3 linked regions of the Mus musculus genome follow. The protein of the gene in region 1 interacts with the protein of each later gene in a biochemical or structural test. Links are inferred from orthologs where the notes say so. Each region holds a gene or a part of one and is shown in the gene's direction. Other genes may lie near its edges.

Evidence for each region.
Region 2: the proteins of Tek (region 1) and Angpt2 form a complex in vitro, tested with the Homo sapiens proteins (7 studies listed by BioGRID and IntAct, with this or other methods). The link is inferred for Mus musculus from reciprocal best matches to the Homo sapiens genes TEK and ANGPT2.
Region 3: the proteins of Tek (region 1) and Angpt4 form a complex in vitro, tested with the Homo sapiens proteins (2 studies listed by BioGRID and IntAct). The link is inferred for Mus musculus from reciprocal best matches to the Homo sapiens genes TEK and ANGPT4.

The regions. Positions count from the first base shown.
Region 1 is NC_000070.6:94,737,892-94,742,281, forward strand, and holds the start of Tek (angiopoietin-1 receptor isoform 2 precursor), read left to right. Parts: upstream 1-1,397; 5' UTR 1,398-1,749; coding exon 1,750-1,801; intron 1,802-4,390. UniProt on the Homo sapiens protein: Tyrosine-protein kinase that acts as a cell-surface receptor for ANGPT1, ANGPT2 and ANGPT4 and regulates angiogenesis, endothelial cell survival, proliferation, migration, adhesion and cell spreading, reorganization of the actin cytoskeleton, but also maintenance of vascular quiescence.
Region 2 is NC_000074.6:18,738,763-18,742,736, reverse strand, and holds the start of Angpt2 (angiopoietin-2 precursor), read left to right. Parts: upstream 1-1,174; 5' UTR 1,175-1,458; coding exon 1,459-1,746; intron 1,747-3,974. UniProt on the Homo sapiens protein: Binds to TEK/TIE2, competing for the ANGPT1 binding site, and modulating ANGPT1 signaling. Can induce tyrosine phosphorylation of TEK/TIE2 in the absence of ANGPT1.
Region 3 is NC_000068.7:151,942,207-151,945,837, forward strand, and holds the end of Angpt4 (angiopoietin-4 precursor), read left to right. Parts: intron 1-1,097; coding exon 1,098-1,228; intron 1,229-2,287; coding exon 2,288-2,448; 3' UTR 2,449-3,131; downstream 3,132-3,631. UniProt on the Homo sapiens protein: Binds to TEK/TIE2, modulating ANGPT1 signaling. Can induce tyrosine phosphorylation of TEK/TIE2. Promotes endothelial cell survival, migration and angiogenesis.

The DNA.
Region 1 (4,390 bases):
TTAAAAGTCTCTGGAATGGAAATAGCTATCATAATCTTACCTCTGAGCCAGTGTCTGCCCTCAGGTGTGCCTGAGGACTGAACAGGGCTATGCACTCCTCAGGTTGGAAACATTACTAGTCCTCAGTGTCTGCTCTTGACCTGTTAACAGCTGAGTCAGGGTCTGCCCTCAGCTGTGCCTGAGGACAGAGCTGAGCTATCTACCCCTGCAGATTGGAAGCATTACAGGCACTCAAGATCAGCCCTGAAGTGATAAAACCTAAGGCAGAAATCCACCAAGACTAGCAGTGCCTCCGTGTCTCTTCCTGTGGCTGGTGGGAAAGGGAGGGGCAGTCCTTCCTTGATGCAAGGTCGTGTGTCTAGTGGCATGCTTGCTTCATTCCCAGTGAGAGCAAGTGATCACCTGGGTAAGGAAGGTTCAGGTGCCTGAGCTTGCTGGAGAATTCATCACTCATCCATCACTCTGCTCCTGTAGACATAATCACTTCTGTTGGGTCTTTATAGAGATGATTTATAACTTTGTTGTTTATAGTTTTTATGAATGTGTGTATTCATTTAGGTCACATGGGAGGTGCACATTTTCAGGTGTCTGTCTTTCCATCACACGGGCTTTGAATTAAACTCAGTCTTGGTTTTACCGGCTGAGCCATCTCACCTGCCTGATTATTTAAAAATCTCCGGAGTAATCCAAGAGTGTGGTTTATGATTGTAGTATCAACACTCGGGAGGCTGAGGGAGCATCGTTATCATGAGCTCCAGGCTAGTTCCAGGCTTGCCTAAGCTGTAGAGCAAGTCACTCTCTTAAAAAGTGCCTCTCCCATATTTTTGTATATAATTTGCATCTGAAATTCTGTTTGCCAATAACTATGAAATTATTCACATTACTAAAATCTTCCTGTGCCAAGTTCTCCAACGAATTAGATCACACTCAGATGAAATGCTAATAAAAATTAAAGCTGTAGCCAGTAGCATGCGTATATTTGGGCTCAGGGCCAACAGGCAGGCGATCTGGGTGTAAGAAAATAGGCTAATGGCTGTGGAATCTGGTCTCTAGTGGCTCCGCTGAGAGCTGACCTCAACCACGCTCCCTCAAATTGATTGCCTTCCAGGTTATGATTTCTCATCACAGGAAACTTTGTTGCCCAATTCAAACCCTGTGAGTGAAAACAAAAACAGGAGAGCAAGTGCTGCTCCCCGTGCCCCAAAGCCCCTTCTGTCAGGGATCCCAAATGCACCCCAGAGAACAGCTTAGCCTGCAAGGGCTGGTCCTCATCGCATACCATACATAGGTGGAGGGCTTGTTATTCAATTCCTGGCCTATGAGAGGATACCCCTATTGTTCCTGAAAATGCTGACCAGGACCTTACTTGTAACAAAGATCCCTCTGCCCCACAATCCAGTTAAGGCAGGAGCAGGAGCCGGAGCAGGAGCAGAAGATAAGCCTTGGATGAAGGGCAAGATGGATAGGGCTCGCTCTGCCCCAAGCCCTGCTGATACCAAGTGCCTTTAAGATACAGCCTTTCCCATCCTAATCTGCAAAGGAAACAGGAAAAAGGAACTTAACCCTCCCTGTGCTCAGACAGAAATGAGACTGTTACCGCCTGCTTCTGTGGTGTTTCTCCTTGCCGCCAACTTGTAAACAAGAGCGAGTGGACCATGCGAGCGGGAAGTCGCAAAGTTGTGAGTTGTTGAAAGCTTCCCAGGGACTCATGCTCATCTGTGGACGCTGGATGGGGAGATCTGGGGAAGTATGGACTCTTTAGCCGGCTTAGTTCTCTGTGGAGTCAGCTTGCTCCTTTATGGTAAGTTTTGGCTTGATGTTTATTTGTGTGTGTGTGTCATGTTTTAACAACAGTGACTTCTCGCCATTCTCTCTCTCACCAAACCTTCGATTTGGTGACCCTGACACTGCTTTTCTGAGACTCTCCAGTTTACACATGGCAACGGTTTTGAAGTTCAGATTCCAGCGGCACCAGCTGGGTTTTCTAGCCATCTCTTGTAGACAGATGCTGCCTCCTGGGTTGCACGGTCTCTCCCAGGACTGAGTAAGTCACCTTATTTGAAGGGATCTGGTTTTTTTTTTTGTTTGTTTGTTTTTTGTTTTTTGTTTTGTTTTGTTTTTTTTTTTGGAGTATTCTTTCTTGCCTCTCATTCTGGTGTTTTCTTATCCATAACAACAAATTTGGGTTGTAATCACTTTAAAGAAAGACTTCAATGATTTTTTTTTTTTTTTTTGGTAGAAACAAAATTCTTACCTAGCCATGTACAAAAACGTCATTGTTAACTAAAAACAAGACCACTTTTCTGTAAAGATTGTGTATCTCCATGCTTTTTAATTTCAGTAGTCCAGTTAAGGGCTTTTCGTCTTTTAGGTAGGGGTCCAGGAGTTAGGGCTATGCCACTGACTTTAATTTTTTGATGTTTCACATAAAGATTAGCCCTAGCAAGCTAACTAAAATGTAGTCAATTACCAAGCTCACCGGATTCAGTATTTTGCCAAGTCCTGTAGTGGCACCTCTAGAGAGGGCAGCCAGGATGAGCTTGGGTTCTGTATGTGTATCACAGGCTCTACACAGTGGGGTGCCTTGTAACTCACTCAGCATAGGTAAACCATGCTAGGAGAAACATGGGGACCCAAACTGCAGATCACAGACACATTATCATTGCCATAGGATTCCCCGAATTGGTTTGGAAGTATTCTAATTATTATGATAAAAATGTAATTGACACAGGAGATGAATTTGGGAAAATTTATCAAACTTAATGGTGAGGCTATATATAGTATAGCATTTGATACAAAGAAATACTTTTGATGTTACTTTTATATTTTTCTATATGTTTAAATATTTTGTTAAGTATTCAAAAAAATTTAACCCAGTAAAGTATGATAATTGTGTGCAATTTCTCATGTAACTTTTCAATTTGATTTCAACAACCAACATATCAGAAATTTAATAATATTTAAGAGTAATGTAAATTGCTGAAAGAGTATCTAAGATGGTGCCAATTACTTATGTAGTAACTTACTTATAATTAACATAACAGCATAATATATTGCTGTAAATTTGGATTCGTCTTTATATTAATGTAGAGACAGGTTGATGTCTTTGTTACTATGTACTTTTAAATAATAATTATGGTTCCTCACTTTCATCTTGCTTTCCACAAGTCACACTGATCAGCGTTATAGAATATGGGACTGATTTTACACCAGAGACTATAATAATACAAAGTCCAAGTATCTAGTTCTGCTCTGACTTAGTTTTAAGTTAAATAAACTAATAGTATGTTCACATACGTATGTGCACGCACACATACACAGAACTATTTTAACTTAGTCTTTCTCCTTAAGTGACTTTTTTATGGCATTTTACAAATAAGTTTAGAAAAGTTGTCATGAATTCATACAAAAAAGTTCTGTTCCAAAACAGTTGTCTCACTGATGCTAGAAACTGATTTCTGGAGCGAAGATGACAAGAAGGAGGAGGTCATGTTCTTGTCAGAAAGTAGAACACAGAAAGCTTGGTTTCTGCTGAAGGTCTCTGTTAATTCCTGACTTTCATTCTGTACCCAAGCTTCCATGAACTTGAGTGAGGCTTGGTGATCACACAAACAGCCTCAGGAGTTCTTCCTTCAAGTCAGACTCTAATAGTGTACTTCATTAATGTGGAAGGGGATATAGAGCTTATATGTCTAGTCTACTTGGTGGCCTGATATTCCTTTTTTGTTGAACAAACATAATGGAAGAATAAAGACTCTGTATTTGCCTCAATAAAGGTTGCTCTGGGTAGCAAAGCAGCCTGCTAAGGCATAAACTGGAAGAGGTTTGTGGCTTCCATAACAACTCAGATTCTGGCGCTTGCTCCTTCCACTGGAGTATTATTGCCAATTTCAGCTTGCAAACAAGTTCTCATAGAACTTAGCAGTGTTACCCCCTCTTTAATTCCATATCTACACCAAACCTGGCTGCAGGCTCTAAAGAATTGTGTACACTTAAAAAAAAAAAAAACACCACTTCTGTTTCATCATGGATGTCCTATATGATTCACACTGATAGGAAGTCTTCAGGTCACACATCTTCAGCTGTCTTTCCTGTCTTGTGTGACATTTTAAACAACTGGATTCAGAGATAACAGAGATGTTGTCTGGGCTGGCAAAGGAAACGCAATAGTAAGGTCAGGAAAGTGGTCCCAGGAGCCTTCTCCTTGGACTGGGATCAGGACACCTCTTGGGATTGTTTTCCAAGGGAAGATCTGGCCTTCTACAGAAACTCTCCCTTCCAACCATTGCTCTTGTTAGCACTTCCCCCTTAGCCCTACCCTGAAAGAACTTCCAGGAAGAGTCTAATTTTTCTATGACATCTCTCCAGGAGGAAAGAAATTATCCAAGTC
Region 2 (3,974 bases), on another chromosome or scaffold:
AAACATAACCCTCTTCTGTTGCCAACTCGGGAGCCAGTCTGCTACAGGATGCATTTAAAAAAGATTCAGTTAGTTCTCTTCCAAACAGACTCTGTGAAAAACAACATTCCCCATGCAGATTCTAGATTCACCTATGATCTAAAATCATGACTCTCCTAGCCTCCAGAAGCCGAGGATGTGTAACACAGAGTTGCCCTGGGGTTTCTGGAGGCGGACGTGGTCCTTTGAGTCAGGGATGCTGGAGTCTTCCCAGTACCGATCTCTGCAGCATTAACTTCTAGTCATGAAGGGGTGGTGACTCTGGACCAGCAGAGCCACAGAGCTGGAAGTGTTTTAGAAGTCAGTGCAGCCCCCAGCTTTTATGGCCAGGGGCTTTTGAACTTAATTAAAAGGGGAAAGTGATTTGCCTGAGCCCACTGACTGGGACTAATTTAATCAGGAACATGCCACAGAGTGATGAGCCCGAGGAAACCCTGATACAGTGAAGGAAAAGGTGTATGTTTGTTTCCTCTCGACATACTTCACTCAAATATCTATTGTTACTTAACAGACAATTAATCAGGCCAAACTACTTTAAGTTTTATTTGTATAGTATTTTGTGTTAAGGCACAGACATGTGAGTGCTGAGAAAACTGATGTTGGTAACTTGATTTAATAATATCAAACTGGGTTAAAATAAAAAAAAATGTGCATAACTTAAAAAAAAAACCAAATACCAACAAGACTTTACTTCCCCTTGGAAAAGCACATTTACAAGGGCTGATCTTAGCCTTTATATTTACAATAAAGAAAATAAACCAAGGTCCCGATATAGCTGTAATTTTATTCCTAAAAGAACAGAAACTTTCACTATGCTTTAAAATTAAAGTGATTACCTCAGATACTCTGCAAGCTTAGCCTACAAACGAGCAGACAGACAACAGAGCCCCAGCTACTCTCTAGGAAATAATTAGGGTGGTGCCTCTGACATGCCCAGGGGTCTTGTGGCTGGTCTGTGTTCCCAGAAGGCTTCTGCAGTACACAGTCCTTTGGGGCAGTAAGCACTATGCTCTGATTTTTCCTGTTGCCTGGCTAGTGACCCCCTACAGGAAGATAGTGGGTGAGCCAGGGGGCGGAGCGGCTGGCTGCACATGTCTGGCTGCTCTTATCAACTTATCATATAAGGGAAGGAAAGTGATTGATTCGGATACTGACACTGTAGACTCAGGGGAGAAACAAAGAGTCCGTGCAGACCTCTGGAGTGAGCAGGGCTGCTCCTTCCTCTCAGGACAGCTCCGAGTGTGCCGGGGAGAAGAGAAGAGAAGAGACAGGCACTGGGAAAGAGCCTGCTGCGGGACGGAGAAGGCTCTCACTGATGGACTTATTCACACGGCACAGCCCTGTGCCTTAGACAGCAGCTGAGAGCTCAGGACGCAAGTTTGCTGAACTCACAGTTTAGAACCCAAAAAGAGAGAGAGAATGTGGCAGATCATTTTCCTAACTTTTGGCTGGGATCTTGTCTTGGCCTCAGCCTACAGTAACTTTAGGAAGAGCGTGGACAGCACAGGCAGAAGGCAGTACCAGGTCCAGAACGGACCCTGCAGCTACACGTTCCTGCTGCCGGAGACCGACAGCTGCCGATCTTCCTCCAGCCCCTACATGTCCAATGCCGTGCAGAGGGATGCACCCCTCGACTACGACGACTCAGTGCAAAGGCTGCAGGTGCTGGAGAACATTCTAGAGAACAACACACAGTGGCTGATGAAGGTAGGAAGGTGGGCTGGCTCTGGTGAGCAAGAACTAATAGCCCTGGCTTTATCAGGGACTGGGGCTGCGGAGGTGGGCTGCAAACATCCTCTTTTGTGCTGCCCTGCAGCAAAGCAGTCACAGAGAGAAGAGCCACAGAGGGGTTGTCTGAAAAGAATGCCAGAATCTGGTCAGAAAACCCCCTGAACTTAGGAATCTTTGCTAGCCAAGCAGAGGAAGTGCGCTTCTCTGCAGATCGCGCGTGCTGTTTTGTTTGAGTAGCTGAGACTAAGTGACACCCATTACCAGGATCTTCTCAGCGGGTTGTAGGCATGTGAGGGAGGCTGTGAACAAGACAGCACGGAGCCAGGAAAAACGTGACAATCACGTTAATTACGGATACTTAACGGATGGAGTCAAGTGCTTTACCAATTTCCTGAATTTCTTTACGAAAATAGATTATGACTCTTGGTAAAAGAGAGGAAATTAAATAAAGCCAACCTTGTGTTCTCAGAGTCTCAGGGCTGCGCTGTGAAGGGGCTGCCATCTGGAAATGGCACCGTGTTTCCCAAGTGTCCCGGAGACACTGCAGGCAGACCCCCGTTCAGTTCCAGAGACAGGCTCTGAGCTTGTCCCCACGTGGGACTGCTATGCTCGTGCCACGCCGGGCGGGCTGAGAGGGTCTGACAGTTTGTTCTTGGGGCTGCGACGACTGCTCTGTTTCATGGCCTTTTTATAGACCGTAACCAAAATAAGACACTGAAAGGGTCTGTTTTGCTTTCACAAATGATTGTTTTCTACAAAACCTCAAATGACCCCGGAGTATTCTTTATGTGAACCATATGTATTCCACAGGAAGTTTAAACAAAGAATGTAGATAGTAGATGAATCGTTACACATTGTGACAATGACATCACATGCTCACAAGGAAATAGTTTAAAGTCATATAAATCTTTTAAAATCCTGTGGACTTCATTTAGTACGTCTTCCCAGAAAGACATAATTTGCTTTTCTCAGATGTCACCAGAATCTCTTGGTTTGATGCCCTGCCTTAATCTGAGAACAGAACCGGGGCCCAAATCTATGTTTCTCACGAATACCCCTACTTTCTTAAGTGGACAAGCTTTTGCTGGAACCCGGAGTCTAAATGAATGAGTGTCACTGGCCTTAATCTTGTGGAGAGAGGGGGAATTTTTCAAATCAAAGAACAAAGATTGCTCAGGACTACAGGCACACAAAAATTTTTTTTTTCTTCTATTTTTTTCCTGGGTGATTTCCTCAGTTTTTCTCCTTTGCAAAACTCACAGATAGCTGAACACTAAACTTTAATGTTAAGAGACATGTCCCAGGGCCTGGAGTGGGGAGGGGTCCCAGGTATCTGCGTGTCTCTTTGGACTTCTTTGGGAACTGTCTTGCACACATTCAGGGACCTTCCACATCTACTGTGGCGTTGGGGGGTGCAGAGCTCTGCAGAGGGAGAGGCACAGCCTTCTAGTAAACACTTTAATCTGCCAACTGCCAAGTCCTCTGCTAAGATAAACAGTCACCAAACCAGGGGGGAAAATGTTTTGCCAAGGGCAACGCTGCTCATTTCTTAGGCTCAAGCTCAGCAGAGTCCAGGCTAGGCAATACCTGGGCTTGGCTTTCCTGCGCAGGGAAACCACATCTCCTGCGGGGCTTTGCAAAGCAGCTTAGAGACAGGAGGAGGAACTGGAAGTAAGGTGGCCACAATCTCCTCCTTCCCAGGGTCTCTTGGTCAATATTTGAACAGTAGCTGGGTGGTATCTCAAAAGCCCTTCTTTCGGCTTTTTAGCTAACTCTGCCGGAGCAGAGCAGAGGGGCAGGGCGGCTCAGGGCTTATCTGGTCATCAGCTCCGCACCTGCTCCCATCAGCACCTGCTCCAGCTCCGGGAGAGCGAGAGCCGCACCTGAGCAAGGCAATTTGCCAGCTCATTCACCGGGTTTATGGGCTCCAGGCACGGAAACAAAAGCAAAAGGCAAATATGAAGCCCACTCGGAATGATTGCATGAAATCCCTCTGCTTGTTTTCGTCCTCTGTGTTTTGGCACCTGCAATAATAAACACTGCTTTTCTCTTCGGGAAGAAAATAAGGACTAGTGGAACGGCAGATAAGCCGGGTAGCTAACAGAGCAGCAGCAGCGAGCACCATCTATTTATAGATTATCACAGAAAGAAAAAGGCAGGGGTTGATTTCATTGTCAAACGTGTTTTCTTTCAGCTGTTTTTAA
Region 3 (3,631 bases), on another chromosome or scaffold:
AGTATATTTTATTATATAGTATACTATATATTGTATATATACTATATATATATACTGCACACATATATATATATACTTATACTATATAATATATATTGCATATAAGTATATATAATATAGAAGCCTCTTAGTGACCTGAGCCAGCTCCTGCCTCAGCGGCTCAGGTAAGCTTTCCCTATGTTTTTCAACCTGTGCCAAGGACTGAATGCCGGGTCCTGAATGTGCAGGGCTCTCACCAAACCCGCCTCAGCACACTCACTGAATGGTATCACTAAATCATATGGTGAACAAAGTCACAGTCTCTTGTCACCTATGAATAAGTGAAGATGAGTCTCAGTGGAGTGAAGATGCCTTCCCAGTGCCAGGCAATGACAGACTGGACATGTTGGGGTTTGAATCCAGGCACCCTGACCTACCCTAACCCCACAGTCATGATCACCCTGGAGGCTTGGACATAGTCACAGAGTTTGGTAAGAAAATAGAGACCCTTTGTCCCCTTGTAGGAAGGGGGGGTCCCTGAGGATTGATCCATGAGGGCTGGACTGGCTAGGAGGGCTTTATGAAAGAAGTGTGGAATAGACCAGCTGTAATGTTGAACTGGCAGGGCTGGCAGGCAAAGAGCATGTAACCCCGCCTGTACCAGGCTGCTCCAGACTGGACACTGGCACTGCTGGTGACTGAGTCTGAGAACCTGAGCAGGTTCCTGCGGCTCTTGGCATCCCCCTTTTCTTGCATAGGAAAAGGTATTATGAGGTTTAAATGAAAATGAGTTAGCCTTCTCAAGACACTGTAACAATACCTGGCCCAGGGCAGATGCTTGAAAGACTTCTACCTGCTTTCCTCACTCTGTGTCTCCCACACACAGCTCCCACATCCAGCCAGTATAAAAGTCCCAGGAGCGGTGAGCAGCGGTGAGCGCTGTGACCCCAGGGTGGCAAATAAGGAGGGCACCATGAAGGACAATGACCTGGTCAGATCAGGGTACATTTCTCATGCAAAAACAACAGGTTGGAAACTTTTCCAGAGCAGAACCTGTGGAGGAGCCCCAGCCTGACTCTCTGTACCCCTTTCTTACCCCACCTCACCACTGCCTCCAGCCTCTCTGTGAATGACAGCAGCAGTTCAGCAGGGCGCAAGAACAGCCTGGCTCCTCAGGGCACCAAGTTCAGCACCAAAGACATGGACAATGATAACTGCATGTGTAAATGTGCTCAGATGCTGTCTGGAGGTGAGTTTATCATGATGAAACCTGTTGGTGGGTGTGTCCAGATGATATCTGGAGGTGAATGTGTTCTGATGCTGTCTGGAGGTGAGTGTATCCGATGATACCTGCTGGTGGGTGTGTCCAGATGATATCTGGAGGTGAGTGTATCTGATGATACCTGCTGGTGGGTGTGTCCAGATGATGTTGGAGGTGGGTGTATCTGACAATACCTGCTGGTGGGTGTGTCCAGATGATGTTGGAGGTGGGTGTGTCCAAATATTGTCTGGAGATGGGTGCTCCTGGTGAGACTCTAGCCAAACCTCCCTCTTTCTAGTCACTGGAGTTCCCACTGGGTTGTACTGGGAGATGGCAAGGGTAGCTCCAGGAAGGCATGATGTTCCCATCCATCCCACCCTCTTGTCTGAGGATTCTCCTACTCCCCAGGCCAGGAAGAAACATCATGAGAGAGACCAGAAGCAGGGAGGGCAGCTCCCCTGCCCACCTCTCTGTCAGGCGATACTCCTGGCAGGGAAAAGACCAGAGGCTGAAGATGGAATGGGAGCAGCACTGGTAAATGAGACCCAACTCACAGATACAGGGACCAGAAGAGGCAGTGACATAGGTGGCAGAGGCAGAGAGGTGCAGGTGACAGCAGACAGCAAGGAGAGGACTAAAGTCCAATAGGTGGGCTAGAAGTGTGCAGAACACACTGGAGACAGAGCCCCAGGGGAAGATAGGGCAACAGAGAGACATGACACAGACAGAGGACATGCAGAGGGACATCCACAAACACAGAGACCACTAGAGTGAACAGGAAGACATGGCAGAGCCTGGTAGGAGATCATCAAAGGAACAGGAAGAAGAGAGGGGTGTCAGAGGCACAGCAGGAAGTCACAAAGGGGCCTGCGGTGTGACTGGAACCTCTCCTACCCTCCAAAGCCCTGGCCCATACCCAACCCATACCCAGCCCACCACCTTCAGCAAATTGGCACCCCAAAATGACAGTCCATGAGCCTTATCCTCCCTGAATCTCGGCCACCAATCTCACCTCCTCCAAACCCTCTGTCCTCCCTCTTCCACTAGGGTGGTGGTTTGATGCCTGTGGCCTCTCCAACCTCAATGGCATCTACTATTCAGTTCATCAGCACTTGCACAAGATCAATGGCATCCGCTGGCACTACTTCCGAGGCCCCAGCTACTCACTGCACGGCACACGCATGATGCTGAGGCCAATGGGTGCCTGACACACAGCCCTGCAGAGACTGATGCCGTAGGAGGATTCTCAACCCAGGTGACTCTGTGCACGCTGGGCCCTGCCCAGAAATCAGTGCCCAGGGCTCATCTTGACATTCTGGAACATCGGAGCCAGCTTACCTTGCCCCTGAATTACAAGAGTCACCTGCCTCCCTGTGCCCCTCTAGTGTGAAATGCTGGGTGCTTGAGGCACCTGCCTCTGTGGAACCCATACTCTTTCCCCTCCTGCTGCATGCCGGGACTCCCTGCCATGACCTGAGGCAGACTGAACTTGACCCCCTCAGAGGGTGGGGTTGCAGCAGGTGGGGAAATCTTGCAGCCTGGGGTGCCCTCCTCCAGGTGAGAACGAGAGTCTCTCACTCTTCTCTAATTCCAAGTTTCTCTCGGCTTGAGATGTCCGCAGACTTTCTTTCCAAGGCTGGTGAACACTGTTCCCACTCCCAGTCCCCAGTGCTAGCCACCATTCCCCGAGCCCCGTGGCTCTTGGACTTCAATGACTGAGTCAGACCTGATCTCTCAGAGGCTTCTAGAAATAGGAGAAGGGATCTTTTTACGCCAGTGTGCCCTAGAGTGTTTTCCATAGGTAATAACTAAGGCTCCTCTCTAAAGTACTTTGGATAAAGTGAGAGAGAAACAGCAGGTTAAATAAAGAGAATAGACTTTCCTAACTGCAGGACTTGTCAGCGTCTTTCATATGTTTCCAAGCCTTACAGTCACCCATGAAGAAGTTAGGGGAAGCAGCTTTCTCAAAGTTATTTCCTTGAAAATAGGACTAGGCCTGGCAGTGGTGGCGCACATCTTTAATCCCAGCACTTAGGAGGCAGAGGCAGGCGGATTTCTGAGTTTGAGGCCAGCCTCATCTACAGAGTGAGTTCCAGGACAGCCAGGACTACACAGAGAAACCCTGTCTCAAAAAAAAAAAAAAAGAAAAGAAAGAAAAAGAGAGAGAGAGGGGAGGGGAGGGGAGGGGAAGGGAGGGGAGGGGAGGGGAGGGGAGGGGAGGGGAGGGGAGGGAGGGGAGGGAGGGGAGGGGAGGGGAGGGGAGGGAAGGGGAGGAGAGGGAGGGGAGGGAAGGGAAGGGAAGGGAAGGGAAGGGAAGGGAAGGGAAGGGAAGGGAAGGGAAGGGAAGGGAAGGGAAGGGAAGGGAAGGGAAGGGAAGAGAAAGAAAAGAAA